7 linked regions of the Bombyx mori genome follow. The main gene of each other region encodes a partner of the protein of the gene in region 3 in a complex. Links are inferred from orthologs where the notes say so. Each region holds a gene or a part of one and is shown on either strand. Other genes may lie near its edges. The genes, in order: cyclin-C, mediator of RNA polymerase II transcription subunit 31, mediator of RNA polymerase II transcription subunit 8, cdk8, mediator of RNA polymerase II transcription subunit 7, mediator of RNA polymerase II transcription subunit 18 and mediator of RNA polymerase II transcription subunit 21.

Region 1 (4,780 bases), on a different chromosome or scaffold from region 3:
GAGCATGACCCCTAGTTTATATATAAATATTAATATTTATTTGTTTGTTCGTATTTTATGTGCCCGCGTCTATTGAATTCAGCCACTGCATAAAGTGCTCAATGTACAATTTCACCAATCATACTTTGACTATACATGACATAATTATTCCCTGAATTGCTAATAAGTTTTAACCTGAAATGTGTAACCAATAGTAATTTATACATATATATCTATTTAAAGGATCCACCTCATTTTCAATGTTCAAAATTGTTAATGTTGACAAATGTTGTAAAATGTGAACAAATGCAACACAGTTAATGAATGAAGTATCAATGCTCAAAAACATGCAGACAGATAAGACTAAATTCATTAGAATTGCCTTTTTTCTTTAGCTTTTGTCATCTTACTTATCTTTGTCAGTTTACTTATATGAACAATGTTATTGGGCAGCATAGCAATACAATGACATTATTTAAACATTAAACTTGAAATAAAGGAATAATTTACTTTTGTGTCTAAAGGCTACAATAGGATACAATAGTCTTAAATCACATAACAACCAATAAAGAGAGTATCTTTGGCTTGTGATGGAAAATTAAATAACTTAGTTCTTGTTCTTTTAATTTATGCTCTAAAGTGTGCTCTACACTGTATTTGTTTATGGTTGAAAAAATTCATAAAAATCACTTGAAATATAAGTGACCTCATCAAAAATAGTAATTTCTTTTCCTAGGGAATTAAAAACAAATTTTTCATGTCTACAATTAAAAATTATATATCCATTATACAAATCCATACTACAAAATATGTCTTGCTATCTCTGGGGAGCTGGCTTTGGTTTGGGCATCTTGGACAATAGCCCTTGTATTTCTTTTTTTTCATCATAACTTTTCCACATCTCATAAAGGTTAATGATAGCTCTCACAATTTCTTGGATCTGTAAATTTGAATTTTTAAATGAGTAGTTTCAGAAGTTTTGTAATACAACCACACAATAACCATATTTTTTTTAATTTTAATATATATTCAAGTATATTTCTCACTTTATCCATGTCAACATTTAGCTCAGCAAACCAAGGTTTGAGATTGTCTTTACCAAGCATCACACATGCTATTTGTAAGGCACCAATTGCAATCTGTAATTCAAAATATAATGGCAATGAAAAGTTTTATGAATAAAAAATGAAATGTGACTATTTGCATTACATAAATCATACCTGATAGGGTGGGTACAACAAACTAACATCTGTTCTCAAGGAATCGTTTACTATTCTCCAAGCGTATGTCAGAAGTTGATCATCTTGTCCTATGTCTTGGACAAAAAGTAGTAATGGTCTATATGGTTGGTATACAATTAAACAACAATCTAAATTTTCTAGTAAATAAAATTCACACTCCAGAATGTGATTTGTCCTGTACGGGAACTCTTGTTGTCCATAAGCATAACTAAACTTATTTTTTATAACTGTCTGGCAGGTTGTTATTAATCTGGAATTGGATATAACACCAAATTCTTCAACTTTAGATGCAAGAAATACGCATGTTGGTGCCAAAAGAAGTGGATCAATACACTTCAAAGAGTTCCTTGCATAAAATCTTTTAAAGTAAACTGTTGCAGTTGCGATTACTTGCTGACGAAGTTTAAGTTGTTCGCCTAAAACTTGAATTATACTAGCAAAAAAATTAAATACTTTTTGGTATTCTTCTTCTGATAAAATATTCAAATCAAACTGGCGATCGCGCCTTAGCTCTTGCTTATCGAGTATCCATTGTTGATGATGTGAGCTTTGCCAAAAATTTCCAGCCATTTCTTCAAAGGCAAAACACAATAATTATTAAAATTTGGTAAATTTTGATTTATCAAAAAAACATACTTTTTTTACAAATTTAACATTTTTCCATCCATTCCTATTCTATGAAACTTTTGAAACTGTGTATTTTAGTAATATGTATGCATAACCAGGGGGGTGCAACTCCCATACAAAGGAAAAGAACATTCAACTAGCGTCATCTTTAGGAACCGGCGAGGTCATTTTTGAAACGTTTTGGCCTTAATGATCTAATAAACTCACTAGATGGCAGGTACGAGTTCTGACTCAATAAAAAAGGTTAGCGTACTTTGAAGCAGTGCTTCCACTTTTAGGGAATTCTCCCTTTTTTAGGGAAAAATAGCTGATATTTTGGATGATAAAGACAATTTAAAAAATACCAGGATTTAGGATAGTTCGGGGTAAAAAGCAAAGCCTATACTAGTAACTGTTGTGAATTTTAAAATAAACGATAATTAAAGTAAAACAATGAACATTTTATTTTATGGAGAGAGAATGACATTAAGTCGAGTTGACAAGTAAAAGAATAAAACAGAGTTGTGTATAAAAACTATAAAGAAGGTTTGATTCAACAGTAACCCTCTAGTAAAGTAAATTATAGATTAAGCCACTGCTTTTTTCTTAGGGATTCCCCAGAATCCCAATAAGTATAATCCGCCAAACTTTTATTTACCTATTTTCGTTGATGTCACCAGAACTTACTTGTATTGTAATATACAGGTACTTCATGTACCATGAAAGATTATCATGGTAATTTCATTTACGAAAACCTTGTAATTGTCATTTCACTTTTGCTAGCAGTTCCTTCTTCAAAGACTGAGGTGGAAAGATAATTCAGTGTTCTCAAATGTAAAAACTGACAAAAGAAACAGGCTTTCTAATGAAACCCTGAACGGCTTGCTTCATAGAAAGTTCCCAACTTTGCCAGCAAACAATTGCTCAATTTTAGAACCGAACAGTGTTAGGTTGCGTGCAGCAAAAGAATATAAAAGCAATGCGTCGACTTCCTTGAAAATTCTAATCCTATATATCTATGATCTTCTGGGGGCGTTTATATTATATATACCTACATTAAATAATATGCTGTGGTTTATTTTCTGTATTTTATTTATACTTTCTATATAAAGGATTTATGAAAGTTGTCTAGGAAATTTTAGGGATAAATTCAAAAGAAACTAGGGTAAAATGTGTTTAAAAAAACGTAAGTGGAAACACTGCTTTGAAGTTTTCAAAATTCCAGGGCCGTAAAACAATCTCAAAAAAAAAAAAAAACGTTTTCAAAATGTCGTAACGATTTAATTTTTTAAATCGTTTTTTTTTTGTCTTGGTGTGAGTTATTTTACGTTGTAGTATTAATTTAGAGCATCTTTTAGCTTTATGAGAATATTAGACGATTAGACATTGAGAAACTCTGTTTTGAATTCTCTTTAGACATAACTTGGTTCCAATACTTTTTTCTTCGTTAGCGTTTCGTAAGCCTGTGTAACTATTTTCGTTTCTTACAGAAAGTTTATTATTAAAAATCAGCATGCCTCGAAGATCGAAAATGAAATGCTATTTCGGATGCCTTGATAACGGTGAGTTTACACTATTTTCCCGGTATATTATTTGCTAACAGAATTATTATTCATAATATAATTAAATGAATTAGCACCAACTAATGGTCCTTCCTATTTCTGCTGCCTAGCTATCATATATGTTAAGTTTGATCAAAACAGTCGGTGTTAAGTCTCGTACTATCACACACACACCTCAGATAATAAAATTGTCTCGAGTGGGTGGAAGTATTTATGTTTTGCAACTCAGCGTATTATATGCTTATTGTCAAGTGGGCCCGAACTAGTTTTTTGGAATGGAATAAACAGGAAAGCATGACTGATTGATAGTCATGCTTTCCTGTTTAAATAAAATACAGCACAATTGATCTCACATCCAAAGTTAAATGATGGCATTCACATTTTGTTTCCTGGTGTTTGATAACCAAGTTACACCAAGTGGCCTGTGACCACGTTCATCCTTCTACCCAATATAAAATAATGTTTTTATTTTTGTAGACAAAGGTTTGATAATGACAAAATTTTATGGAAAAATTATAAGGAGCACTAAAATGTCTGAAACATGAAAAGATTGATGCACTATATTTGAACCAGAACGTGTTATGTAATATATTAATTTGTAAGTATGATTACATTAACACTAAATTTTTCATGGTCGTATTTTTTCAATATTTGTTACATACTTAAGATACTTTGTTTCTCCGTTTCAGAAGAGAAACTGATTCAGCAAGGAATGTGAACTCACAAGGGATCTTAATTTTTTTTAAATATGTTTATAATTTATAAATTAATAATTGAAATAGTTCATAAGAACTAAATTGATGCCAATTTTGTTTTAAAATAGGTTGTTTAGTTCTTATAGTTATACTATTACGTTTTGAATAGTTGTAATTAGTAAGTTAGTAATATATGAAAATACTGATATAAATTTTTGTAAATGAGCTTTTGTAAATTCTACGAGAAGATGATTTTAATTAATGATCAAAAGTCAACGATCTTCAAAAGCATTATTTGCAATTATTTAGATTAACTGTGGAATATATTTGCTAAGTTGTGTTTTCTGTATGAGCAGATATAAATGAAAATGCCCAAACATGATTATGTTTCTTACATTTTCATTATGTGAAATCAATATGCTTGTGACTGAGTATATTAATAATTTATTAAAACTTAAGTGATAGACAGCAACCCCTATGGCACTGCTGAAGTTTATAAGCACTGGTGACCACTTATCATGAGCCGGGTTGTGTGCTCGTCTGCTGTTGAGTGCAATAAAAATTTTCGAGACCCTTTCTATTATTTAGATGTAATATTAATGTACATTTAATTTGGATTAAAAGATAAATTTACATTTTATGTTTGCATGTGTATGTTTATAATTCATTTGCATGTAACGAACATCAGTTTCTTTTG
Region 2 (4,745 bases), on a different chromosome or scaffold from region 3:
TACATATGTTCATTTTAATAATTTAATAGCATTATGACGCAGAGTAAGTAATGTTTTTGCACGTGAGTGTACCATGCGCAAACTTACCCCCACTACGTCAACAAATGCTCAAGAAGTTTGCCGGTTATTATACAAAGGATTTGTTTATGTTCAATCAAATAAAATTCGTTTTGAAAAACGTTCAGTGCCCATTTCAAGTAATTAAATATATTTTTTATGAGTAAGACTACGTATATTTTACTACTACACAGAACAAATATTTTAATATCAGCCAAATTATTTTTATAACATAACAAAGAGGTTTCATTAACACCCATTTAGATAATTTAGAGGGAGATCTTTGTCCCCCGGTGGGACATCCTACTAGAGGACATGCCCAATATTTTTTTAACATTATTATACACTACTATCTGTACCCGTCCGCTTCACTGGGCATTTAAAATTAACATTATTATTTCTCACCCCCACAAAGATTCACATCATTAACGCCCCCGCAACTGGTGTAGGGAGTCCAACACTCATATAATTAGCCTATCCATTATGTACATGTATTTTCTACATGGATAACAAGTTCAAGTCAATCGGATGCATGGTTCAGTAGTTATAACGGAACATCCATAAAAACCACTGTAGATTTATTTATTAAGTATAGATTTATAAAAAGTTTATTTTATTTTCCACTCACTTCTAAAACAACAATCATGAACATCCTAAGTTTGTTGTCTTGGTGGACCTTGTTGTGGCGGTGCGGGCGGCGCAGGAAGCGCCGGTGCGTCCGGCGGTTGTAACGTGCGTGTACGCCGACGAGTATAATGTTGCCATAGCAATATTGCTTGATCGTCCATGAATTTGCAAACCTTAAGGAAAATATTAATCATTCATTAATGAAGATATTTTGAACAGTACCTATCCATCAGAGTGATCTAAACACAGGCTTTATTTAAAAATTGTAATACATACAAATTATACTGCTATCGGATAAAATTAAAAGCGGTATTTGGTCAAGGGCCAGTTTGGCACAGTCATAAATTTTATATTTGGTAGAGTACAAGAATAAAGCACAGCTACTAATGAGGTGGTAAATAAAAGCCAATAAATTATAATAATATGACTTTTGCAGTAACTTGTACGTGGTCATTAACAATTACCAAATTTATATTCTTACATTCAAACTAGCTCAATTTCATTTGCATATTTTTTTTACTGTTGATTTGTAAGTCAAGCTCTGTTTTGGTTTTAAGCCCATAAACATCATACTGTGAAACCTATAAATCATAAAACTATATCAGAAAAAAAAAAGGCCAAGTAGTGTTAAGTTGTTACCTGAGCCCATAGACATGTACAAAGTAAATGCCTAAACAAAAAAAAATACAATGGCTGCCCCACCCATCAAACCGAAACACATTACTACTTCACTGTAGAAATAGGCAGGGTAGAGGTACCTACCCCTGCGGACTCACAAGACATCCTACAACCAGTAACTACACAAATTATAATTTCGCAAGTTTGATTCTTTTACTAGATGGTGTTATTCCTTAACTGTGGAAGTCAATAGTGAACATTTGTTTAGTATGTATCTCATTATAATAATTGGAACCTGCCTGCAGGATCTGAACACCTTTGTATCGCTTGATATGAATGCGTCAGGTCAGCCTGAGCGATAAGCCTTCAGGCCACAACAAACCTTCATATAAACACTACTTCAAAAACTGGACCAAGGTGGTCACGACCCTCAGCAATGAGGAAACGACAGAGAAGAAGAAGAAGAATGTTTATCAGCGGACTTAAAACCTATGGCATTATCTACCGCTCAAGCAAAGATTATATGGAAAATAATTTAGTAGGTGCAATTTGTACTCACTTGTGCCGATACACATTCTCTTCTAAATGCTTCATGTTGTAATAACTCCAAAAAATGCAAACACATGGGATACTTCAAATATCTAGCATATTCTGGCTCTCTCCAATATTGCAAATATTTAAGATAGTTTACAAAAGTTTGTTCTTTAAGATAACCTCGCTGTGCCAAAACTGTAAATAGACAGAGTTGACATAATTGACATCCATTACACATAACATTTAAAAACACTGGGCAGAAAAACATTTAATCACAAAATAGACGATTAGAAACTAAGTCACAATAACAAAATCATTAAACCGGTATGAAAAATACCTAACAATTTATTACTTATTTCCCTCTTGTGATGATTTGATGACCAACTTGATAGCTTCAGATCAGTCATCACATTAAGTTATCATTATAAGTTTCCATAAGTGTATGTATGCAGTGAGCAGCATTAGCCTGCATAAGTTCAAGTGGCAACATTTACATTATGATGTCTATGTACTCTAGTAATCATTGTATACCAGGTGAGTGTGAAGTCTAACAACAAAAACCAAAAAGGCAACTTACAGTGAATGTAATTTGGATTTGCTAAGCACTGCACAAATTCAAGTTCCACTTGAAATCTTATTCGATTCTGCTCTTCAGTTTCTGGCATTACTGCAATTAAATTAAAGATTATTAATTTATCATGAAATAACAAACTGTTAAATAAAATTATTTCATTCTTTCTTACCTTTTCCAGCCATCATTTTGAACCCGAAATATATGCAGCTGGAGTATTTAAATTATTCAAAATTAAACAAGTTGGTCAGTGGTGTACGTCTCAACAAATCTATGACCAAAATAATAACATATTTTCAGGTTACACAAGACAGTTCATTTTATCCTTATATAAATATGTGATATTTAAGATTTTATCATTACTAAAATGTTACACAGTACTTAGTAAGCTCTTAAAATTTTTAAATTAATTAAATCACATAAATAAATTTGTGTATATATTTTTTTCCGAGTCCTACACAACGTAACACAACTACACAATACTACATAGATTATACACTTAATATACATAGATTATACACTTAATATATACGAGCAATACTACACTACACATTAAGTTAGTCTATGACTATGATCATCATCCTACTTAGGCTTAATATTTGGCCTAAAGGTACTATACCTAAACTTTTTGGCGGGAACGCGATGAGTGAAGTTGTGTGATTTGTTTTATTTTGTCTATTTAATGTTTCTTCAAGTTTAAATGGGTTCCTCCAAAAAGTCCACTGAACAAACCACAGTAAATGATCACCATTTTACTGAGATTATATTTCATCCCATATTATCTCATTCCATTTAATTTCATCCCAGTTGATTAATTTCTCAAATTAATCATCTTCATTTCATTTCACTCCATATTATAATTTTTCATAAAAATAAGAATATAAATTAAAATAAAATATAACTTAAAGGTCTTAGTTAACAGGTCATAACATCCCTTAAAAAAAATCTGGTTTAAATGTTTAATAGAGCTGGTTTATTAACTGTTTAATATCTGTAAAAGTGCACAAATGTGGGAAAATAAAATATAGCCGCTGAACATAACTTCTCGGGATCCTCCAACAAGTCCACAGAAAAAGTCTCAATAAATAACCACCATTTTACTGAAATTATATTTCATTCCATATCATCTCATCTCATTTCATTTCATGCCATGTTTCGTATTAATCAGCTTCATTTATACTTAATATCATTATTATAATATTATTATATATATCAAATAGATATAATTATTCTTAAAAAATCCTGTTTATAGAGTATAAGTATATATACTAAGTTTATTCTTCTATATTAAATGAATTTCTACTAAATGTCCCTGCAATATATTTCTTGAACTTATAAATAATTATCATTTCAACAAAAACAGATTTTGTGTGCATTATATTTACATTTTTTGAACTAAGTATGAATTTAGGAATTATTAATTTTATTATAAAATACAAGTATCTTAACTATCTCCTATTGCATGGTAATGAATAGTATCATTAAAAATAACTGAACTGAAAACCACGCTAATTGTACTTTAACGACTAATTGACCGTCTTCACTCTTCACCGACATTTTTTTGTTGAATTATTGTTGAAGTTTTCAATATTTTTTTGATCCACTTATGAAATAATTAGACAGTATAAACCATAGATTATACACTTAATATATGTATAAACCATGGAGTTAATAAGTAGTAACTCTATGGTATAAACGCAGTTCTTCTTCTTCTTCTTTATTTTTGGCTCTGGCACGTTTTGTGCATTAGCCAGCGTCAAGTAATAACGTTTTTATAATTCGCCGTTTTATTTATTTACAGTTTATAAATAATAAAAAACGAAGGAAACTTATCGCAACAAAACATAAATGATTTAGAACGAATTGAATTTACAAAAAAAATCAGAATAATTATATAACAGGGAAAATAAATCAAAATTATAGTTTAATGTTATTATTTAATATAAACCTACTTAAAATACTATATACAAGGGGATTAAAATCTCGAAGAAGTAAAGAAATATTAGTAGGAAGGGGAACAGAGAGAGATACTAAAGAAGTATATAAGGAAGAATGATCATATAAAGAACAAGAAAAGAAAATATGATTCAGGTCACAATAACTCTCGCCACACTCACAGGCGGTACTAGTTACGATACCAAGTTTGTGCAAATGAACTGGAAGGCTGTTATGTCCCAGACGCATACGAATTATAGTAGAAGTGGCGGTTTTACCAAACGACAATTTGGCAAACCATGGCTTCCTGGGAACGGAAGACTGTATAGCATACAAGAAACGACCCTTAATCCGGCCGCTCTCTTCCCAACACATATTCCACGATTTGTGGAGGCATATGCCG
Region 3 (4,674 bases):
ATGTCCAAACCGTTTGCAGTAGGAGCACACTGGACGCTGTTTCTTCGTGGTCACGAATTGCTCTGCAGAACCTGGCACAGCAGCGGCAGGCGTGGCAACGGTAGGCTGGGCGACAGCGACAGGCACAGCGGTGGCGGGCACGACGGCCGCGGCGGAGTTTGGAAAGCGCGCGCGCGGCGCCGGGGCACTCGCACGAGCGGCGCACGGTTCAGGCCGACTCGCAGCCTGGGCCGGCTGGGCACGGATCGAACGCACACCACTAGTGGACGACACTGGTCTCGATTGAGTCTCCTCTATCGAATCTTCTATATTCCGAGCATGGTTTAATAATGAATTGAAAGATGTGATTTCTTCACGGCGCAATCTTGTGCGTATTCTATTATGAAGCAACCCGTATATCATATCAAGTTGTACTTTTTCAGCAATATCATCCCGCGGTAGCTTTGCCATAAGCGCACGAATACGAGCAACAAACTTGTCTGTGTTTTCTTTATCCTGCGGGGAAACAAATATTTCCAAATATATTCTATGTGGTGGAAGGCGGGTGCCATATGCATATATTAAATTTTCTTTGGCTTCGTTCCAAGTGGAGATGTGATGCTTTAATCCTAGCCACCACGTAGCTGCGTCAGCAGACAAAAGCATGGCTAGGCCTCGTATGATGTTAGCGTCAGATACTTGAACGCATTCTGTATAACTTTCAATTGCATCTATAAAGGCCTCAACAGATTCACCAGGTGCACCGCTGAAAGAAGCTCTGCAACGCGCCAAGGTACCATCTACGTTCACTGGGGGCATCGGCGGAGGTGCCGGAGTCGACGATCTTTGTTCCATCACGTACGACATAATGTTCTTAAATGTTTCGGCCTGCGAACGTTGCAGCGAGGCCATCAACGCTGAAACATCATCCAAGTTGAACGTAGAATTGTTGCTACGTGATTCGGCGTGGGGGCGATCATGGGGGCTATCATGCTCCTCGTGATTTTCGTTGGCATTTGCATCTGCAGCAGGAATAACGTCGTCTTCGCGACGTTGCTGGCGATCTTGACTTCTAGTTAAAGGCATTCTTTACAATTAAGCACCAACAGCATACAATAGTTAGCAAATTTTTCACAAAAGCGTGCGCGCCATTTTGTTAGTCCAAGCAAGAAAAAAATTAGGAAACGTTGGGCAGCCAGATATAGTGAGGGGTAGATCTCAGGGGTATTTAAAACTATGGGTTAGTCACCAATATCGAATTTCGAATTTTAATCTTCCTTTATAACAAACAATTTTCAATTTTTAAACAATAATTACATTTAGACGCGGGCGCACGCTATTCACACTCAAAACGGAAGCGCCCGGAACATAGATTATACACTGTTACAAGATTGACATAGATACTAACTATGTATAGCGAGCGGGCATACGGCCGCGAGAGTGACGTACCGGTCGGTTTGCTACATATTTAATATTTGTTCAGAGTGGGGGTATTCATCTGATTAATCCATGGAATAACCGACACACCTAATCTCTTAATCCAGATAGAAATATCAGCACTGTCGATTGCACCTATAATTGAGGTGATGTCTGCCATGTACTTTTGTCAGTTTTTCAATTTTTTTTATTGATGATCACTTTGTTGGTGCAACTAAATAAATAAATAAATTAAAACTATATATAAAAATAAAAGTAGTGCCAACCCTAGCAAATTTCTCGTTTCGTCCCAATTAACCGCAATTTTCGGGTAAATAGGGATTACACCTATTTTTGCATTTTTTGCTTAAACTGGAATGCTAGTTGCATAATTTTAAATTAGACAACAAAGATGCCCCCAAGACTCAATCATTTTGATCCTGATTTAGCATTATATACATCAACAACTACCTTAAAATTGCTCATAAAGTTGGAATTTGTCCCTAATCGCCCCATTTTACGGTACGGTAGGTACCGTATGGTACCATTTTGAGATATATTACTTATGTACCCTTAGTCCCTTACGGTTATTTAATAGCTAGGTAAGGTACGGTACCTAAACCTTATTAAAATCTAACAAAGAGAATTAAAAAGTTACAATTGTGTACCTACCATTTACAACAATGAATATGCAGCAGCGAGAAGAAAAGCAACTAGAAGCTACAATAGTTGCGATTTTAAATAGAGTAAATGATTTAAAAACTGCAATACAAGCATTGATAAATAAACTAGAAACGGAATACGAGACAATAAATTGGCCAACTTTTCTAGATAATTACGCGATTTTATCTGGTCACGTAAGTCCAATTGTATATTGAAATTCATAGCATAAATAGTGTGTGTAATAGTCAACAAGTCTACAGAGATGGATTTCAACTTGAAGTAGGAAAGATAATTAATTTATTATTGAAAAAACAGTGAAACAAAAACTGACGAGTTCAAAACTCACTTGATGTAACCTGGTTAGCGTGGTCACTGATATTTATTAGGTATTATCCCATTTTGAGACTTGTTTTCAGATTTAAGTGCATTTGTACATAAGCTTTTCACTTTAAAGATCATGTGTTATTTAGTTAAATTTTATTAACTCTTTATTTTCAGCTGACTGGCCTCAGTAAAATTCTCCAAGCCGAACAAGCAGCTTCATTGCGGTCTAGAATTGTTTTACCACTTCAATTAAGTTGCGAACGTGATGAAACACTGGCTCATTTGACAGAAGGCAGAGTTCCAGCTTGCACTCATGATTTAGTTCCAGATTTACTTCGTACCAAACCTGAACCCCAGGCTGAACAGCGTCTCCAGCAATTTAATCATAAAGCTAGTACTTTAAGCTATGATACAGCACAGGTATAGACAATAATTAACATTTAATTTTAAATATCAGAAACATTTAAAGAAGCATAAGGTTTAATGTACCACAAGGAAAAATATCCATTATAACTATTTGGGCTAATTTTTTATGACATTCTTTGTAGACTTCGCAATCTAAATTAGTTTTCATTGTAAACGGTAAAAAAATAGATATATTTGGGGTTAAAACATGTAATGCACTGTTGAGTGAATAAACCCACAGCTCACTTGAGATATAGTGGCTGGGACCCATAGATATCACAGAGTTAAATCAACCTCTTGCTTTGAGATATTTGGTTGAAGTATGTATCAATTCTTTCTTTTTTTTGTTGTATCACTTGTCAGGGTGGTCATGGTCATCATTCAGTATCATTGCAATCATATCATCATTGAATTCTATTAAACTATGTATAATAAGTTCTTTTATATAATCAAGATTTGTCTGCAAAATTAGCATGATAATCAAGTTGAGTACTTAAGACATGCAATTATAACAAGCTCACTTTCTCATGTAATGTTGTGTAGTTGTTACCTACAATTATATAGATGGATGATGTATGGATTATAATAGTTTTATATTCCAGAAACACATTGCTCAATTCACTAAAGTTGTCAGTCACGTTTGGGAAATTATATCCAAAGGCCGCGAAGACTGGGAAGGAGAGTCAATGAGATCTACAGGTTAGTAAAAGTTACAATAGAAAATTATCATAATTACCTAAACAGTTGACAGATTTTAATAAACATTTCATTCATATTATGTAGTCCATTTTTAACTTCTAGAGGTTGAAAAAAGATGCGGGTCACTGTAGTGAAAAACAATTTGTCTTCAATAAAATTTAGACACACATGCTTATCTTATTTCACCTGACCCAAAACACATGCCCGAAGTCTCAGTTGTATGGCAGGCAGGCATCTTATAATTCAAACTGGCATGCCTGTTTTCTTCATAACAAAAATACTTATACACGTCAGTGACTCAGGATACACTCAGCTACTCACAGTTCTAGACCCCAGTCATTGGTGAATATCTACAGAAAAGACAGGTGGGATTATTCTGACCATTGTACACATATCCTAAGTTATTAGTTCATATAAGGTAGGTATGACTTTACTTTGACAAAGATGAAAGATGCCCACCAGAGATGCCCAAGATTTTGCCCACCACTTAAACAAGTATGATGATAATGCAATTTCACAATACAAGCAGTGCGATTATGGAATTCTCTCCCTCAACCTATTTGTGCTAGTTCCTCTCTAGAAGTTTCTAAGAGTCAAATGAAGAAACATTTCCTGTCACTTTAAAAAAGTGTATTTAAGTTATTGTTTTATGTATGTTTATATGTATTTTTCATTTCATATTAGTTTTTTTTTAAAGCTTAGTTTAAAAATCATGCTTTAATAGATTTTGTATTGTACACTATTCCCCTCTTTATACATTGTATTTCTCTCTGCTAATGGTTTGCTGGAAGAAAACTCATGAATGAGTTAAGCTCGCCTTTGTGCATAGTATTTAGACATTCTTTAAATCTGTTTTTATTGTATTTTCTTTTTGTGTACAATAAGTATAAATAAATAAAATAAATAAATAAGTATGATGATAAGTTTTTTCATTGAAAAATGTGTACTGACTTAGGAGAACTGAATCACACCATAGTAGAACAGCTAGAGACAGTTAACTGGATGTTTATGTTTTAATATATATATTTTATGTTTTATTTTTCAGTTTAAGGAAGTTTTTTTTTTTATTGTTTAGATGGGTGGATGAGCTCACAGCCCACCTAGTGTCAAGTGGTTACTGGAGCCCATAGACATCCACAACGTAAATGCGCCACCCACCTTGAGATATAAGTTCTAAGGTCTCAAATA
Region 4 (3,317 bases), on a different chromosome or scaffold from region 3:
CCGAAGCTCAATGATTCCACAATTTAAATGGCGACTTTTACTTTGAAACACGAAGTTAGAGTCTCAATTGTAGTGTATAATTTGGTTGGTGGTATTAAACCTCTGCGACTCGTAATAGGACAATTTTACAAATTAATTGCGAGTTCGATTAATACACGAAATGATTATGTACTTTATTGTTATAGCTTCTTTATTTTTTGGCTCCGGCACGGTTTGTGCATTAGCCAGCGTCAAGTAATAAGATTTTTATAATTCGCCGTTTTAATAATTTATTTACAGTTTATGAATAATAAAAAACGAAGGAAACCCAAATTAATCAACTGACATGAAATTAAATGAAATGAGATGAGATGATATGGGATGAAAATAGATGGTCATTTACTGACTTTTTCAGTGGACTTTTTGGAGGATCCCGAGAAGTTACTTTCGGCGGCTTTGTCTCATTTTCCCACATTTGTGCACTTTCACAGATACTAAACAGTTAACAAACCACCGTTATTACACATTAAAAACTGAAGAAACACTAAATAAACAAAAGAAAACAAATCACACAACTTCACTCCTCGCGTTCCCGCCAAAAAGTCTTGTTATAACTTATGAGCACGTATTTGCTCATAGCCCAACTGTCACCAAATAACTACTGGAAACAATGGGCATCACAATGAGCCTTGAGGCAAAGATCATTAGATGTCACAGTACCATATCATTCTATTGTGCTATAAGATCTTTTCTACTTTTCAAGCCGGAATGGTGAACTGCTTTGTGATAGTAATCAAATCTATTAGCCACTTCAAACACATTGCTGATAGTAATATTCAATTTCAATAAGTATCTTTTTGTATTATAGGATTTACAACAGTTTTTTACAACATAGCACCCAATGTCTCTCACGTGTTTGTCACAATGACTATCAACATGAGATTTTTCCTTCGTTTATTTGGAACAGGTCCACCAAAAATACAGAGTACATTAACTGAAACGCATTTCACGAAATACCACTAGTTTTGTTTGACGGATCATTAATTCTATAGTTTTAAAAAAAGAAACCGTACGGCGACACATCACATTCGCACTGTCTGAGAGATTTTGAGTCAATATCTCATCAACCAATTTATAATTAGCACGTTTTTATTCATATGGTTCTAAATTCAGTCCACCCGAGTACGTAGACTCAGGTATATTGTATTAGAATCTTTGTTGGTAGTTCCCTTGTTGTTGGGAGCTTCCTCCCTGCTGCTGACTACCGAACATCATTTGTTGCTGTTGATGGAATTCCTGCTGGCCACCACCAGTGTTGTTGCCTTGGTTCGGACCTGAAAAAAAATATATAACTAAGTGTCTGATAACACCTTGCTCTATTTTATTTATTGCCCGTGATTACTAAATCCTACTGTTGTTAATTGCTCGTGGTTAACACTCTATTGTGTAGACAAGCTAACTCCCTGTCTGGTTATATGTCATTTACTAGGCACATAAATAGTTTTTAAAGTAACTTTCTAAAGGGCTAGGAATTTTATTGTTCAGAATCAGTTGGCACTACATGAAAATGCAGCAAAAAATAAATTTATACTTATAAATTTGTATTAAAACTTGTGTTATTTTACCCGTCATTCTCATCCTTTTGGCATTATTGGCACCATGATCGTGGCTGTTCTGTTGAACTTGATTCTGTTGGGTCTGAAATAAATTAAAAATAACAATAAAATTTAGTAAATGGTATCAATATACCTCATTATTCATCACGTTTACAATTTACACAATTGTACAATGAATGTGTAAAGTTTGAAGCATGGCTTGTTGAGAAATAAAGTTTAAGACGTTCCGTGTACATGTATGAAGTGATATGACTATGTTGCTTAAATCCTGGAAGCAAGTAACATTTTTTCTACGGGCTTGGAATACATATTAACACATGCTCATGAATTGAATGACTTCAACGGCGACTATATTGCGTAAAATCAAACGCCCAAAAATATTATTTATATATTACTGATTGATACCCTTCTTGTCAGATCGCATCACAGGTATCACCAATGCCCTGCTTATTTCTACAGTTAAGTAAAAATGCATTCCCGTGCAAATCCCTCAAATGACCACAGATATTAGCATGAACACAGCATAAGGATTAAGCCAATAAATTATGTATAATTCGCTAACAAACTAGTTAGAATACATGGATATAACATATGTCAAAATCGTTACATTTGGTTGTTGTTGCTGTTGATTTTGTCTGGCTTTTGAATCACTCTTGTCTTCCTGATCGTCATCAGTCAAAAATTCTCTTTTCGGATATGGAATTGTACATCCGGCGAACACATCCTATTAACCGAAAGAAATTAAATCATTCACTGTTAAATAAATATATTATGGTGACCTAGTACAATATATTATTACCACTAGTTCCTGTACAATATTATTAATACATATTTCGTTTCTTGCACAGGTTCACAAATATTTACCAAATAAATGAATGTCATCATTACATAATGAAATCAAAATATTTAATGGTTGGTTTTTACCATAGAGGGCAATTTTGTGAGCCCTTACCAGTAGATACCTACTATAATCAAGATGGGATAGCATTTATAGTACAGTTGGAAATTTAACTTGTTACAAGGTGGGTGGGATTAAAATTGTGCATTTATAGGGTCTAATATTCCTGACTTCAGGTTGCTCATCTATCCATTCAGATCATTAAGAATTCAAAAACATTATAATATCATACTTGAGTAGGCAGTGGGTCTTCAGCAAAGTATGGATCCTGCATAGCCTGTTCTGAAGTGATTCTTTTGTTAGGATCCATCAGTAAAAGTCTTTGTAATAAACTAAAAGCTTTACTATCTGGCTTAATCTTATGCCTGTCCATATATTTGCTGAGTGAGCAGTTCTGGTAGCTGTAATGAATATGAACATATTAAATTTAATTTCATTTTAGACCAATGCATCCTCAAAATATTTGTTTTTCAATTTACTTTGATCTCTTGAAATCCTTAACTAGTGTTGCATGTTCTGGCATTTTCCTTATATCTTCCCAATCTTTTTCAAGTGGAAATCCCATAACATTAAATATTCTATCTAGTTGATCATGATGATATGGATTGCTTGTTTTAATGTCTTCTTGGCGACAATGGAAAATAGGTTCAGATGTTAATAGTTCTGCGAATATACATCCTATGGCCCAAATATCTGCAAATAAATGAGATTTTCTTAAATTACTTTTTTTTTTACATCTCTTTTGACTTGGTTTTAAACCGTGGCTCTACACATTTCGTCCAGGAAAAGTATCAGTATGAATACTTTCACTTTAAAAAAAATCA
Region 5 (4,606 bases), on a different chromosome or scaffold from region 3:
TTCCCCAAAGAGGTTACTGAATCGTAACCAGGCCACGGAAGCTAATTGGTCTACATCAGGCCCTGTGAGAGCCCGGTAGAACCTACCGTGTAACTCCTTGCTCCTCCATACGGTTATGCGATCTAAAATACTCTTATTATTATTATTATTATTTGGTATCTAAACATACCTATCTCACACCATGTTTATTTAATGAAAAATTAAATGGAACTAATTATGAAAAGAAATTTAACTTGGATTAAAACTGAAGAATTTTTTTATAAATTATATAAAATATACAGATCAAATAAAATAATTCATAAAACTTACATCCCGAATTCCTGCCAAAGGTCTGCTAAATTAGATATTTTATTTCATTTTTCATTTTTTATTTGGGTTATACAATTACGTATGAAATGTAAATAAAACTACTTTTATTGTCTTTAGCGAATAATTGAATTTTTTCAAGTCTTAATAGTTGGCGCTACTGCAAAACATGCTGTCTGTGGCGGGTAGCCATCATACAACGCAAGATGATTGACGGATGCCTGAATCTCGCTTACGACATTTTCAAGATAAGGCAGAGCTCGAAACTTAGGCATCCGCCACAGAAAGCATGCTTTGCAGTAGGGCCAACTATTACTGTAGATATACGATAAAGGGAAGATCTTCCACCGAGCGGGTGATAATTGCTCTGTAGACCGACGGTCCGAATGTTGTTGTTCGGAACTTGTATATAAGCAAGCTGATCTTGAAAATGTCGTAAGCGAGATTCAGGCATCCGTCAATCATCTTGCGTTGTATGATGGCTACCCGCCACACTGTCAAACTGCAGTTTCGTGTATCCACTTAATCGCAATCGCGATGTGCCTTTTAATTTTTTTTATTTTTTATTGCTGAGATGTGTGGACGAGCTCACAGCCCACCTGGTGTTAAGTGGTTACTGGAGCCCATAGACATCTATAACGTAAATGCGCCACACACCTAAAATATTGTCCTCTGTATGAGAGCCTACTGCTATAATCCAATTGATCCAGCTCAATCCAGACACCAGAATCTTGCAAAGTTATAATACACTTAACAGATCTTAGTTACTCATTGATTTTCTTGTGTGATACATTTTATGAAACCATTTTAAATGATTTTATAGACACACCCCACCCCTAAGTTTGTTGCCAATCTTTCCTGTAACATCCTTAATAGTTAATTGTCTCCACGACTTGCGAAAGCTAAAGGAACAAAGCCCATAAAACATCTTTTTTATTTTATTTATAAAAGCCAAATTGTTTACATGAAATTTCTTTTTGGTTATAAAACATCAAAAATCTTTCGACAAAAATCAGTTCGGGATTTTTTTTTTCTAAAGGTTCATTGAACACTCAGTACATTCTCAGAATTTTAGCGAAAAATTACTTCACTTCATTTTGTCCACACTTACGGTGTTGTCATAAACTCACCTCTAAATTGAAGTTCATTTAACTTTCACAACACCTTCGACCTTGGTGGCAAAAATTGGAATATATGAGCTATGTTCCCTTTGCTTATCCATAAGGCCAATCAAACAAAAAAAGCATACTAAAGCATAGATTAAACACTTATTTTTTAGAAAGCATAGACAAAGCTCATAATAATTCATACATTTCATACTGTAGTGTGTAAAGTTGTTTTAAAATAAATTTCTTCAATTTAACACAATATTTAAGAGTATGTAAATCTTTTTTTGTAAATATAGGCATATTCCGTTTTTATTAAGTGTTTGCTAGAATCGTACGTACGGATTCCCGGTTCACAATGTCAGAGACAGCTCAAGTTAGCTCTTTACCTCTGCCTCCAATGCAATATATAAATTTTTACACGGATGAAAATGTTAGAAGAAATAGAGCTCCTCTACCACCTCGACCTATTCATGATTCTTATTCAATGTTTGGTAATTCTTTTAACGCTGATGATGCTATTATACGTTCGTTAGAAAGCCAGGTAAGTCCTAAAACAACTAGTTTACAAACACAAATGTTTATGTAAATAATTCGTTGTAAAAAATTCCTTCAGGGATTTCGAAGATTGTATCCTATGCATTTTGAACGAAGAAGAGAATTGAAGAAACTTAACCATTCACTGCTGGCAAATTTTCTGGATTTGTTGGATTTGCTTGTTCATTGTCCAGATTCTCCAAAGAGAGCAGAAAAAGTAGAAGACCTAAGTTTGTTATTTATTCATATACATCATCTTCTAAATGAATTTAGGCCACACCAAGCAAGAGAAACATTGAGAGTAATGATGGAATTGCAGAAAAGACAGAGGGTTGAAACTGCAGCAAGGTACTATTAATAGCGTTAATTTGTCATATGTTGGTGTTTCTACTATATCTATACTGGACACCAAGGAACCATTCTAGAAAATAAAGATAGATCTCAGATCACAAATGACAAAATAAAAAAGATGCCAACATAAATATTTAAGTTATGTTTTTGCCACACACATGATATAACCATTAAGTGTGTGACTTATCCTTTATTATTTTAGGCTTTAACATTATAATATGATCTTTAATTGGGTGGTAATGTGAAAGTCTGATTTAAATTTCACTGGTTGGATTTTCACTGGTTGGAAACATTAGGTGCCACTAGTGATTAGACATTTTTATCTGTTACCACAGTACCTTCATGATTGAGATTCCCAGACATTTTGCCCATCAATGTTATGTTAATTTATTTATAATTAGTAGAACCTGAATAAATTTATTGTGTTTAATCTTACCATAGGCTGTTAAACACAAAGTCATATTAAGTTCTCCCAATGTTTGATATTGAAGCAGAATAATGAAAATCAGATTTGTAATGAGTTTAATTTTTTTTTATTTTTATTGCTTAGGTGGGTGGATGAGCTCACAGCCCACCTGGTGTTAAGTGGTTACTGGAGCCCATAGACATCTACAAAGCAAATGCGCCACACACCCTGAGTTATAGTTCTAAGGTGTCTCAGTATAGTCACAACGGCTTCCCCACCCTTCAGACCGAAACGCATTACTGCTTCACGGCAGAAATAGGCGGGGTGGTGGTACCCACCCGTGCGGACTCACAAGAGGTCCTACCACCACCAGTAAAAAACCTTAAACTTGTCTCAATAAAAAAATTTTAGTATTCATAATGTCATATCATCTTTTTCAAACCAAAATCTGCCCTCTGCACTTTTTAGAGATTTCCAAATTTGAACTGTTTTGAGTAATATACAAAAATATTTTAATATAAAAAAAAAGAAATTAGCAGATATTGTTTACTGATACTACGAGGGCGGCACTGAAAATTTCGGGAATTAACGAAGTGACGAAGTTACTATTTAAAAATGTATTTATTGCTTATCGAAGTATTCTCCGCGAAATTTGACACATTTTTCCATACGATGGAACCAATCATTGAAGCAACCATTCCATTCGGAAGTTGGGGTCTCCAAAATGGCCGTTTTGTAGGCGTCTACAGCTTCTTCAGGTGATGAAAATCTCTGTCCACGCAATTTATTCTTTATTTTAGGGAAAGTATAGAAATCATTAGGGCTTAGGTCGGGGCTGTACGGCGGATGGTCTAATAATTCTATGTTTTCTTGCTCTAAAAACTCTTTTGTTCTGTGCGCGGTGTGAGAACTCGCATTGTCGTGATGGAGGATGATGCGGCGGTTGCAGTTCTCTTTACGGAGTTCAGAAACGACCTGTGGCAAACAAATGCTAGCATACCATTCTGCATTAACCGTTCTTTGTCCCTCAAGAGGAATAGTCGTAACATGGCCGGTTTTGGAGACAAACGTGGCCACCATTTTTTTTGCAACACTCCGTGAACGAACAATTTTTGTTGGCTTTAACTCATTTTCGAACACCCAAACTCGTGACTGGTTTTTTGTTTCGGGTTCGTACGCGTATATCCAGGATTCGTCACCTGATACAATGTTGTATACAGCATTTGAGGATCCTGCGTGGAATCTTTCGAGAGTTCTGACGCACCAAGTAACGCGAGCCGCTTTTTGCTCTTCACAGAGCGAATGCGGTATCCATCGGGAAAACAACTTTTTTACACCTAATTGTTCATGCAAGATTATTTGTATTTGACTCATGCCAATGTCTAAAGTTGCCTGAATTTCGCGGTATGTCACATGTCGATCTTCCTCAATCAGCTTACGCACAGCATCAACGTTTTCTTGGGTGACTGCAGTTTTTGGACGACCTTGAAGGGAATCATCACTGAGCTTGACACGTCCACGTTGAAACTCAGCAAACCAGCGATAAATTGTGGTTTTGGATGGGGCTTCATCACCAAATACAGAAATCATCCGGTCAACACACTGTTTTTGTGTTAAACCACTTCGAAAGTCATAATAAATCATCGCTCTTGAATTTTCTCGAGTCAATTCCATTTTCTCAACGACTAAACAAGTTTGACAAAACCTCGTGACAAGACCGAGAATCTTTTTTAAAATAAATAAATGGTATTCGATTTTTAAAACCAAGGAGTTTTCAATTAAAAAGATTTTAATATGACAGGAACAGTAGAAATATTCCATTCCCGATACTTTTAGTGCAGCCTAGTATATTATAACACAAGATTGAACTCGAAAATTATTTGTTGTTTATCGTCGTGTT
Region 6 (4,872 bases), on a different chromosome or scaffold from region 3:
AATAACAACATTCGGACCGTCGGTCTACCGAGCAATATCATCCGCTCGGTGGAAGATCTTCCCTTTGTCGTTTAAGCATCCCCAAAATTGTTTAAGTAGCAGAGTTTATATAACATTTTGGGCGCACAATCCTTATAGGACTCAGGACTCACTATCAGCAAATAAAAGTTAGTCTATCATCTTATTCTTATATATTATAGGTACACAGAAAATGATACTAAAATAAGACTTGTAAAAGAATGTCCAATGGTGAGTTTAATGTATTAATTAGTCTTTTGTTCTAACAAACCTAAGGGAACCAAAGATATTAAAGAAGGGTAAAAGTCTTCAACAACTGAAATACACTACACATCACATAACATACATGAAATAAAATAAATCCACATTGCTCTACAAACATCAACTACATACATTAATTATATAAAATCTACTTAATACGTACAAATAAGAAGAAAAAAAAACAATTGAAGCTTATTATTGAGCCTTACTTATTCATGGAAACCTGTAGGTTAGGTTACTTATGTTTTTATAGCTTGAAAAAACCAAGCTGTTTACATCAAAACCAAGCCAGCAAATTAAAAATCTCTTCCTTATTTTTAGTTTATTTACAGTAGATTGGGGAGAATAGAGACTAGAGTTAGAATAGGGACAAATCTGGGATGTCACAATACTCTTGTTGGGTTGTTAGATATAACTTTGTTGCACTGAAGATGACTATTATTTAGTGTTTAAGAATATTATATAGTTTAATTCAGATATCAAAACTTTGTATCTCATTAAAGATATAAAAAATTAATTACCTAAAGTTAGGTACCTACCTAAGAACTAAATAGTGCCAGCCTTATCGAAAAACTCTGTTGTCCCCATACATAGCGTATTTTTTTTATTGCCCTTGTAGGCAGACGAGCATACGGCCCACCTGATGCTGAGTGGTTATCGTCGCCCATGGACTTCAGCAATGCCAGGGGCAGAGCCAAGCCGCTGCCTACCGTTGTATACTCTCCACAAGCCTCGTTTGAAGAAGGACAAGTCAATGAGAGAAATAGCCTCATTCAAAGAGAATCGGGTCAAGCAAGTTTTTTAAGGTTTTGTGTATATTTTGTGACTATATGAACTATATAAAATAATGAATCGTATTTAAAAATTTAAACCTTCGGAGCCATTTTAATCTCAATTTTATTGGTATTACCCTAAGAATAAAAGCATTGAAAATTTGTTTTGGAATTGGAAAGGGTCCCCATTTTCCCCAATCTACGGTACTTAAAGATCATATATAATCATCATACTCAAGCAAAACCAGAAAGCGGTATTGTTTGGGAAATTTGACAAATTATTTAATTGGGTGTCAAAAACTTACAGAAAGCTCCACAAGATAGCTCTGTGAGATAGGTTCAGGTGGCATTGAATTTTGAGAAATCTTAAACACTTTTGCTACAGTAATTTTCATACGACCTTTTCTAAACATGTAACCTGAAATTTAGAATTAGAAAAAGCTTAATGTTTTTTATAAAATTACCGTAATTGATTGATTTTAAATGAACCACTGAAAATTATATGCAATTTAATTAAATCCCAAATCTAGGTAATACTTTAAATTGAATTAGTATTTTTGACTATTGGTCTTCTTTGATTCGTCATTATTAACAATAGTGGTATAGTAATAGTGATGATTTAGAATATACTATCAAATACATGTACAATCATATTACTCATAATTGTCATTATAATAAATATTATTACCTTTTACACTGTATTCAAATTCAATTCGGCATCCTAGCTCATTTAAAAATTCAATGAGCATTCCACTGCAGGCTATATCAAGACTGGAACGGACAACTGTTGGCCTATTTTTGTCCCCCAAATCAGGCTGCCCAATGTATCGTAACTGAAATGGCATGTCTCGAGCATCTAATGCTTTACGAACACGCAACATGAGAGGGGGAGCCTGAAATTTAAATTTATTAAAGATGAACTATTAGAACATGAAAGAAAAATATATAGATTCAGGCATGTCTTTATGCTCACGAATTGTACAGTATTAATAGTGATTACCAAATCATTAGCACTTTTCTTGACCAAACAGGTGACAGCCCAGGCAAAATTTAATCAATTTATAATTTAATACAAGTTTTATTGTATTATAATTTTATAACCATTTTATATTCTAGTGTCCTAAAATAATAATAACATTAACAGAAATATTTTAAAAAGTTCTAAGTATTATTATTACCTGATGATGATTAGGATCCCGTAGACTGAAACACACTTCCTGGTCATCAAATGTTTCTGGCCCAGCATCAACATTGTCACAAAGACCACGTAATCGGTGAAGTAAAACTTCTACTGCCGAGTCCAACACTGAGCCCTTAATCAAATTTTAGTGGAATCAAAAATTAAATGTATAATATTCAACAATTAACAAACTTGACTGAATCTTGAGAAAAGTTGCTGCCTGTTGCCTAATTATCATAATTTCCAGCTATGAAATACTGTAAAATTGAAAATCATTAAATGAATTATTTTTATTTATTAAGAACAGCATTGTAGGCATTGTAACTAAGACCTTATCTCATGTTTTTTTGGGCTGCTATTATATGTAAGCTATGTATGTATGGGTTCTGATAATATTTTGAATGTAGTATGTAAACAGATCAAATGGGTCAAAAGAATTGGATACAATAGCTGCAACTATGGTAATTAGTTCTGTTAAGTATGCAATTTATGGAAACTGTAGAAGAATGTAGACTATATTGTAATTATTCTGAAATTTAAAATAGCTGAGCCACTTCAACATCCTGTAGTACCTGAAGTAAGTATTCCTGATTTGGTATAATGTTCGCTTTTAAAGCTTGCGATAAGCTATCTGTAGCTGTTATAGGTGCAGCGTTTGCCGACATTTTATGGAGCTGAAAATCTGAAAACCTACTTCAATAGCAGCTATTTAAAGATTTAAGTTTTGAAGAACTATGTGTGAGCCAAGAAATCATTACACTTATAAACGACTTTTCTGTCTCATAGAGGTGCATTCAGTCTAAATAGTCCATATAACCGAAACTATAAATATTGCGTAAAATAAAAAACTAGGCAATTTTAAAGGAGAAAATAAATTCTAATTTCTAATTAACATAATCTAAATACTCATATTGGAATTTAACAAGGTAGAGATATGTTTGCAATCGCTGTTAGCTTGACAGTTACTAACAATGTTGACATTTAGCCTCATTTAGGTGACATTTTGTAATTTCCTTTTTCAAATACAGGAGAGAGAGGCAATGGTATCGCATCATATTATCATATTGGTACGGCCGTATTTGTTTTTAAACATTTTTTGTCACCAATGATTCTACATGCGAGGAGTGAAATTGTGTGATTTGTTTTATTTTGTCTATTTAGTGTGTCTTCAGGTTTAAACCTGTAATAACGGTTGTTTATTAACTGTTCAATATCTATGAAAGTGCACCAATGTGGGAAAATGAAACCAAGCCGCTGGACGTAACTTCTCGGGATCGTCCAAAAAGGCCAAAATCTCAGTAAATAACCGTCATTTTAGTGAGATTGTATTTCATCCCTTATCATCTGTTCAGTTCTCGTTCAATCACATGAATGAACAATGAGTGTGAAGAGTTAATCATTAATTTCAAACTATAAAAGAATATTATTTATATTTTACAATAAAATTGTATTAAAGTGCTCCAATATATGTTACTAGTAGTATGTAACTACAATTACTTTTTTTTATTTTCATTACATACCTATAATTGTTATATTTTATACATCTATAATTTCAACTATATGATGTATTGGAAATAGGACAGTCTTACAAGCTTCCTCGCAATGTTTTTCTTAATGTTTAAAACACTCGGTATTCAGTGCAGGTAGATACTATAGGAACATAATATTTCGTCGAAAACTCATTGGTTGTACAAAGCACGCCTAAAATTCGAACCCCGTACCCGATATCGGCAATTCGGCACACTAACTATTCACTAGACAATCGAGGCAATTTCATTAATTCAGGAGTTTTTTCAATCGTTCACTTTGTCACAACACTATTTTTATTTCATCAAAACCTGACAACACAGTAAACGTCAGTTGACTTCGTCTAATAAAAAATCCGACTATAGGTCTATGAGTTCGTTGTACACAATTCACAATTAGCAAAGAGGGAGCTTAAAAAAACATTAGAAATGGTCAGTCATGTATCTATAAAACTCGCATCTGAAAGAGTAAATCATTCGGTTGCCTCAAATAATGACCCGCCGCGTTTTTACACTCCTGGCGAAGTCATAACTGGGATACAAGATTTTATGAGGTCGGTATTTTTTGCGAAAACAATATTGTTAAGAATTATTATTACTATAAATTTAATAATTTTGCACTTTAAGAGGCCACGGAACTTACGCAGAAGATGATTGCCTAAAAGCATCTGTTGCTGGGGTTATGCAAAAAGTAAATAAACTTATATGCATTCGCCCATTGAAGAGTCGTTACGTTGGAGAAATAGGCGATGTGGTAGTCGGAAGAGTATTGGAAGTTCAACAGAAAAGATGGAAAGTTGATACCAATTCACGACTTGATTCAATACTTCAACTTTCTTCAGTAAATCTACCTGGCGGAGAATTGGTAAATTAACGCACACTTCCATAATATAAAGCAATCTTCTTGTATCTAATGATAACTATTTATATATTTTTTTAAATCCAGAGAAGGCGTTCAGAAGAGGATGAGCAGATGATGAGAAAACATTTACAGGAAGGTGATTTGATAAGCGCTGAAGTACAGAATGTATTTTCTGATGGTTCGCTCTCATTGCATACAAGAAGTTTGAAATATGGCAAGGTAATCAGATTTTATGAAGCCAATAAAAAATGA
Region 7 (4,602 bases), on a different chromosome or scaffold from region 3:
TTTTTTCTCGATAGAGATACGAATACTTTTTCGATAGTCATTCGTGCTTGCCCTTCAGAGTGTAAAGCTTTAATGAGGATTGAAAATTTTATTAATTATAGCTAAATCCAATACTTAGCATGATTGTTTGCACTTGATTCTAAATGAAAAGTTAAGCTTTGTGATGCTCTCTAACAAAACTAATTGTGAATTGTTAAAACTATTTCATTGTGTGATTTTTTAAAAGTTTTAGTAAATAGTCATTACTTGTTGCTATGTTTATAACTATATTTATGCATAAAATTTGATAATAAATTGAGAATAGATCTATAATTTTAAGGTATTTGATAATAATTTTGGTACTATAGTGTGAAGCTTTGAAGTTTTCAAACAATTTATCTAAATTGTTTTAAAACATTTTTAATAACAATCACGAGGTTTTGTGTGTGTGTGTTTTTTTTTCTGTGCACAATTTAAAACCTCTGTCTTTGTAAATGTGGCCGCAAACGGGGGTTGCTAGCTGATAAAGATGGAAACCTAGATCCAAAGTAGAGTGAGAGAGTTAATGCGTAACATCGTTTGTCAGACAAGGATGGCGGTAGACAAACTTACCCTATTTAAAAATTAAAAACTAATGCGCATGCGTCGAGTGCTAGTTTATTCAACCAACTGCGCTCACTTTCTTACTTTACAAACGATAATTTAGTTAGGTACTCAAAAAAAAGTGGGAATTTTTATTTGCTATATTATTATGCTAATGAATTATATTCATATTGCTGTTATTAGTAAAGTTTTGTACTTAATTTATAAAAAAATTAGATGCTATGTTGGGTATGTACATACAGTACTCAAAAATCTAATTTAGCAATTTTCATTGTTGACTTCTAAGCAATTTAAATTCGATAACGGCGGATTTCTATCATAAAAATGTGATACCGCAAATGCTTAGTTATTTTTAAAGAGTGCAGGTTAGGCTGAAAGCTATCTAGTCTTTTATTGTTAATTCGTACGAGAATAGCGCGAAAGCGGTGATGGAAGTTTTTTTTCCTACCTATTCGGTAGCCTACACACACTGCGACGCAACTTCTTGATGAATTTTAGTTGTTACAAAAATGACGCGAGGATTTGATATTTACTTATTGCGCGACAGGAGGTGTTTGTTGATTGTAAAAAAAATGGCTTACACGAAACGAAAAGAAAAACGGAAAACTTTTACAAATTAGTAAAGTTCTGCCAATTTTACTATAGCACAGCTGCCTTAGATTGAATTAGACTAATAGTTGTAGTAGTCATTAAACAATAACATGTTTGAACACACAACCTCGTTATATCCGTAATGTGAATCCAGCTTATTGTTAATGTTGTTTCATTGAATAACTAAAATTTAAAAATAATCGTTTAAGGTCTGAAATGAAAGAGGTTCATTAATGGTTTTTTATTATACTTAAATACTCAATAATTGTGATGTTTTTCTAGTCGGTAATATTATGGTTACCTATTGTGTACACTGCTTACATTAAATAAAGGAAATTTTGAAATTCATTTCATTGCCTATAATTAAAGTTTTTTAATTTTTTTTATATGTAGATGGGTGGAAGAGCTCATAGTCCACCTGGTGTTAAGTGATACCGGAGCCCATAGATATCTATAACGTAAATACCGTCACCCACCTTGAGATATGAGTTCTAAGGTATACTTACAACGGCTGCCCCACCCTTCAAACCGAAACGTCAAGTGGTCCTGTTATTAGCAACATTACTATTTAGCTTATAATGTATATAACGGAGAAATGGTTTTCTAAATTTTAATACTGATGAGAATGATTGCAGTTCTAAATGTATTTTTTTATTGCCCTTGTAGGCAGACGAGCATACGGCCCACCTGATGGTAAGTGGTTACCATCGCCCATGGACTTCAGCAATGCCAGGGACAGCCAAGTCGCTGCCTACCGTTAAGTACTTTCCGCAAGCCTCGTTTGAAGAAGAATACGTCATAGCGCTCGGAAAACACCGTGGAGCGGAGCTCATTCCAAAGCCGTATGGTACGTGGCAAAAAAGATCTCTGGCTTAAAATGGCGTTACTATTCCAAATTAGGTACTGTTTTGCTGCACGCCAAAGTTAAACGATCGTAATATAATTGTTTCCTTACAGAACTTCAAGTTATTTGGATTTTAGATTAATGTCTCAAATGAATCAACTTTATTTCATTTCGCTCCATATGATCATTTTTCATGAAAGAGAATAGAATGTACATACAAAAGACTAGGATGTATGGTGTGTGATATCTTCGCCTTTCCACCTGGAAATATTGGAAATATTACTTAAAAACGTCATAACGTTCAACTTCAAATAACTTCATTCAAAAGGTAGTTTTACAAATTGATACTGTAGGTAGCTTAAAACCACCTTCCATAGAAAATATCCATATAAGGATTAAATTTTAACAGTGGTTAGTAGGATAAATATCTGAATTGAATAATGGCTGATCGCTTAACTCAGCTTCAAGATACCATAAACCAAGTACGTATGACAAAAATGAACATTTCGTTTTAATTGACATTAATACATTTCACATACGTTGTATTTATTTATTTGTAGCAAGCTGAGAATTTTTGTAACAGCATCGGAATTCTACAGCAGTTCTCGTTGCCTAGCAAGTTCCCAGGCTTCGAACGCGGTGGTTCTCAGACTCCTCAACAACCGCAGAGTCAAGAGGATTATGCGGTTTTATTCGCGGCTCTAATTTCTCGTTGTGCTAAGGACATTGACACGCTCATCGAGTCTTTGCCCAGTGAAGAGAGTTCAACTGAGCTGCAAGTGCAAAGCCTTCGGCGACTTGAGGCCGAGAACAAGGAGGCTGCTGAGCAACTTGAAGAGGTAAGGGCTGTCAACTCTCCGTGCCCAATACACGTGCAATTTATCTCAAAGGACACTAGCTTTCTTTTTTATCATAAATTGGGAATTATCATGTAACTAAACCATTAAAATAATGATTTTAAAGAAGTAATTATGCCATGCAGTTTGCTTTTGTATTGCCATTTGAATGTAAAATCAAATATTCCAAGAAAGTATTTGTATTACAGACATTGTATTTTGTCTATAGTCAACTTTTGTAATGTAAACAAGCACCAATATTTAAACATAAATTAGTACCTACTTAAGATAAAATTGACAGTAATAGCGATTTGGTTAAAGTTGTTTCCTTAACTTCATTTTGAGATGGCACACTGGAATTGTATCAGCGAATATTACTTTATTCAATTTTCAAAACCCATAGGGTGTTTACAGATTAATCTCATGTTTTAGATTGCCATGACTACAAAAACTTATAGTATTTGAAATATTGGAAGTAATCATATCGACGCTTGAAAGGCAAACGTGACTAAGCGACAATGCGTGAACTTCACAGTAGACTAATTTCAAGATGAAATACCTGAAAAAATTCTATTTTAACGAAACTAGCTGTAGGATTGAAATGATTTTAATAGACCTAGAAATATATTTTTTTTGGCATTGAATATGGTTATTGCCTATCATGTATAAAGCAGTTATTGTCGCTTAGTCACGTTTGCCTTTCAAGCGTCGATATGAAAATAATTACACATGACTTACTCTCTTTTCATTAGCGTTAATAATAATGTCAGACAATATTTAATAATTCTACAGGTAGTCCGTCAAGGAGAGATTCTTCTAGAGAAGATTCAGGGTGCTCTGAGTGATATTGCTCAGTGCCAGTTGGACATGCAGAATCCGGCTCTGATCCTCAACAAGGATGTGAAACCACAGTTATAGGGATGGGGTCTGGGGTTCTACCAACGGTAGTTTCCTCTACAAAAGGATACGTTAAAACAAGAATACACGGAAGTATTTTAGTATTATATGAATTTTAAAATTTTGTGTTTGAAATCTTAATGCTTAATGACGAAGATTTTTTTTTGTTGTTTGCAAATTTGTTACAGGGCTTTCATGCCGGTGAAAACTAAATTGTCTGAATGTCATATTTTTGAAACTATAATAAGAAAAACATTGGTATGACATATATCATTTTAAGTAATCATTTGTTATAATTGAATAGTTAAGTATACATGACTTGTTTATTCATTATTTTCTATTATTACGTAAGGCATACTTTAAGTCTGAAAGGGTAGGTACCGCCACTCTGCCTATACATACTGTAAAGCCGTTGTTTTCCAGTTTTGAAGCACAGGTTAGTTGTTGATGATGATTTTGAGATGAGTGGCGGCAATGACTGGGATCTCTGGGCTATGTTAATCTCTTAATATTAGATGAACTCGTTCATCTATATACATAAAATAAAATGAACACAAGGAAAAAGTAAAGGTGATTGTATTCAATGATGAACATGAGTTTTAATTAAATTAAAAAATATTTATGTTTTATGTTTAATTAATTTAATTAAGTTATTATGTTTAATTAAAGGTTTAATTTTTCTTTTTGTTGTACGCCCTGTATATGCTGGAATGGACTCGAATCTAAATATTAATATACTTTAGAGATTGGAAATAGAAAACTATAATCTTGAAATGAAAAAAAATCTATATGATTGAAAATAAATGTTGATAGCTAAGAGTGTTTTATTAAATCAAATGTTTTATTTGTATA

What was found.
Region 1: mediator of RNA polymerase II transcription subunit 8 (region 3) and cyclin-C share a complex: the UniProt entries of both Caenorhabditis elegans proteins name them as parts of the mediator complex. The link is inferred for Bombyx mori from reciprocal best matches to the Caenorhabditis elegans genes mdt-8 and cic-1.
Region 2: mediator of RNA polymerase II transcription subunit 8 (region 3) and mediator of RNA polymerase II transcription subunit 31 share a complex: the UniProt entries of both Caenorhabditis elegans proteins name them as parts of the mediator complex. The link is inferred for Bombyx mori from reciprocal best matches to the Caenorhabditis elegans genes mdt-8 and mdt-31.
Region 4: mediator of RNA polymerase II transcription subunit 8 (region 3) and cdk8 share a complex: the UniProt entries of both Caenorhabditis elegans proteins name them as parts of the mediator complex. The link is inferred for Bombyx mori from reciprocal best matches to the Caenorhabditis elegans genes mdt-8 and cdk-8.
Region 5: mediator of RNA polymerase II transcription subunit 8 (region 3) and mediator of RNA polymerase II transcription subunit 7 share a complex: the UniProt entries of both Caenorhabditis elegans proteins name them as parts of the mediator complex. The link is inferred for Bombyx mori from reciprocal best matches to the Caenorhabditis elegans genes mdt-8 and let-49.
Region 6: mediator of RNA polymerase II transcription subunit 8 (region 3) and mediator of RNA polymerase II transcription subunit 18 share a complex: the UniProt entries of both Caenorhabditis elegans proteins name them as parts of the mediator complex. The link is inferred for Bombyx mori from reciprocal best matches to the Caenorhabditis elegans genes mdt-8 and mdt-18.
Region 7: mediator of RNA polymerase II transcription subunit 8 (region 3) and mediator of RNA polymerase II transcription subunit 21 share a complex: the UniProt entries of both Caenorhabditis elegans proteins name them as parts of the mediator complex. The link is inferred for Bombyx mori from reciprocal best matches to the Caenorhabditis elegans genes mdt-8 and mdt-21.

The regions. Positions count from the first base shown.
Region 1 is NC_085121.1:11,205,012-11,209,791, reverse strand, and holds the start of cyclin-C, read right to left. Parts: upstream 3,079-4,780; 5' UTR 1,791-3,078; coding exon 1,200-1,790; intron 1,119-1,199; coding exon 1,026-1,118; intron 920-1,025; coding exon 797-919; 3' UTR 1-796. UniProt on the Caenorhabditis elegans protein: Component of the Mediator complex, a coactivator involved in regulated gene transcription of nearly all RNA polymerase II-dependent genes.
Region 2 is NC_085122.1:5,746,387-5,751,131, forward strand, and holds the start of mediator of RNA polymerase II transcription subunit 31, read right to left. Parts: upstream 2,907-4,745; 5' UTR 2,596-2,906; coding exon 2,580-2,595; intron 2,504-2,579; coding exon 2,414-2,503; intron 2,032-2,413; coding exon 1,862-2,031; intron 858-1,861; coding exon 711-857; 3' UTR 686-710; exon of another isoform or gene 1-685. UniProt on the Caenorhabditis elegans protein: Component of the Mediator complex, a coactivator involved in the regulated transcription of nearly all RNA polymerase II-dependent genes.
Region 3 is NC_085118.1:10,645,760-10,650,433, reverse strand, and holds the start of mediator of RNA polymerase II transcription subunit 8, read left to right. Parts: upstream 1-1,377; 5' UTR 1,378-2,078; coding exon 2,079-2,252; intron 2,253-2,556; coding exon 2,557-2,802; intron 2,803-3,389; coding exon 3,390-3,486; intron 3,487-4,674. Other genes in the region: uncharacterized protein LOC134199859, read right to left, coding at 1-1,065. UniProt on the Caenorhabditis elegans protein: Component of the Mediator complex, a coactivator involved in the regulated transcription of nearly all RNA polymerase II-dependent genes.
Region 4 is NC_085129.1:10,517,082-10,520,398, reverse strand, and holds the end of cdk8 (cyclin dependent kinase 8), read right to left. Parts: intron 3,187-3,317; coding exon 2,973-3,186; intron 2,895-2,972; coding exon 2,726-2,894; intron 2,320-2,725; coding exon 2,203-2,319; intron 1,678-2,202; coding exon 1,605-1,677; intron 1,314-1,604; coding exon 1,186-1,313; 3' UTR 866-1,185; downstream 1-865. UniProt on the Caenorhabditis elegans protein: Component of the Mediator complex, a coactivator involved in regulated gene transcription of nearly all RNA polymerase II-dependent genes.
Region 5 is NC_085119.1:10,080,709-10,085,314, forward strand, and holds the start of mediator of RNA polymerase II transcription subunit 7, read left to right. Parts: upstream 1-1,570; 5' UTR 1,571-1,770; coding exon 1,771-1,956; intron 1,957-2,028; coding exon 2,029-2,297; intron 2,298-4,606. UniProt on the Caenorhabditis elegans protein: Component of the Mediator complex, a coactivator involved in the regulated transcription of nearly all RNA polymerase II-dependent genes.
Region 6 is NC_085121.1:5,596,307-5,601,178, forward strand, and holds the start of mediator of RNA polymerase II transcription subunit 18, read right to left. Parts: upstream 3,217-4,872; 5' UTR 2,898-3,216; coding exon 2,805-2,897; intron 2,366-2,804; coding exon 2,231-2,365; intron 1,946-2,230; coding exon 1,741-1,945; intron 1,471-1,740; coding exon 1,358-1,470; intron 1-1,357. Other genes in the region: exosome complex component RRP4, read left to right, coding at 4,188-4,312, 4,386-4,623, 4,705-4,839. UniProt on the Caenorhabditis elegans protein: Component of the Mediator complex, a coactivator involved in the regulated transcription of nearly all RNA polymerase II-dependent genes.
Region 7 is NC_085122.1:11,557,488-11,562,089, reverse strand, and holds mediator of RNA polymerase II transcription subunit 21, read left to right. Parts: upstream 1-1,568; 5' UTR 1,569-2,457; coding exon 2,458-2,499; intron 2,500-2,577; coding exon 2,578-2,856; intron 2,857-3,645; coding exon 3,646-3,771; 3' UTR 3,772-4,567; downstream 4,568-4,602. UniProt on the Caenorhabditis elegans protein: Component of the Mediator complex, a coactivator involved in the regulated transcription of nearly all RNA polymerase II-dependent genes.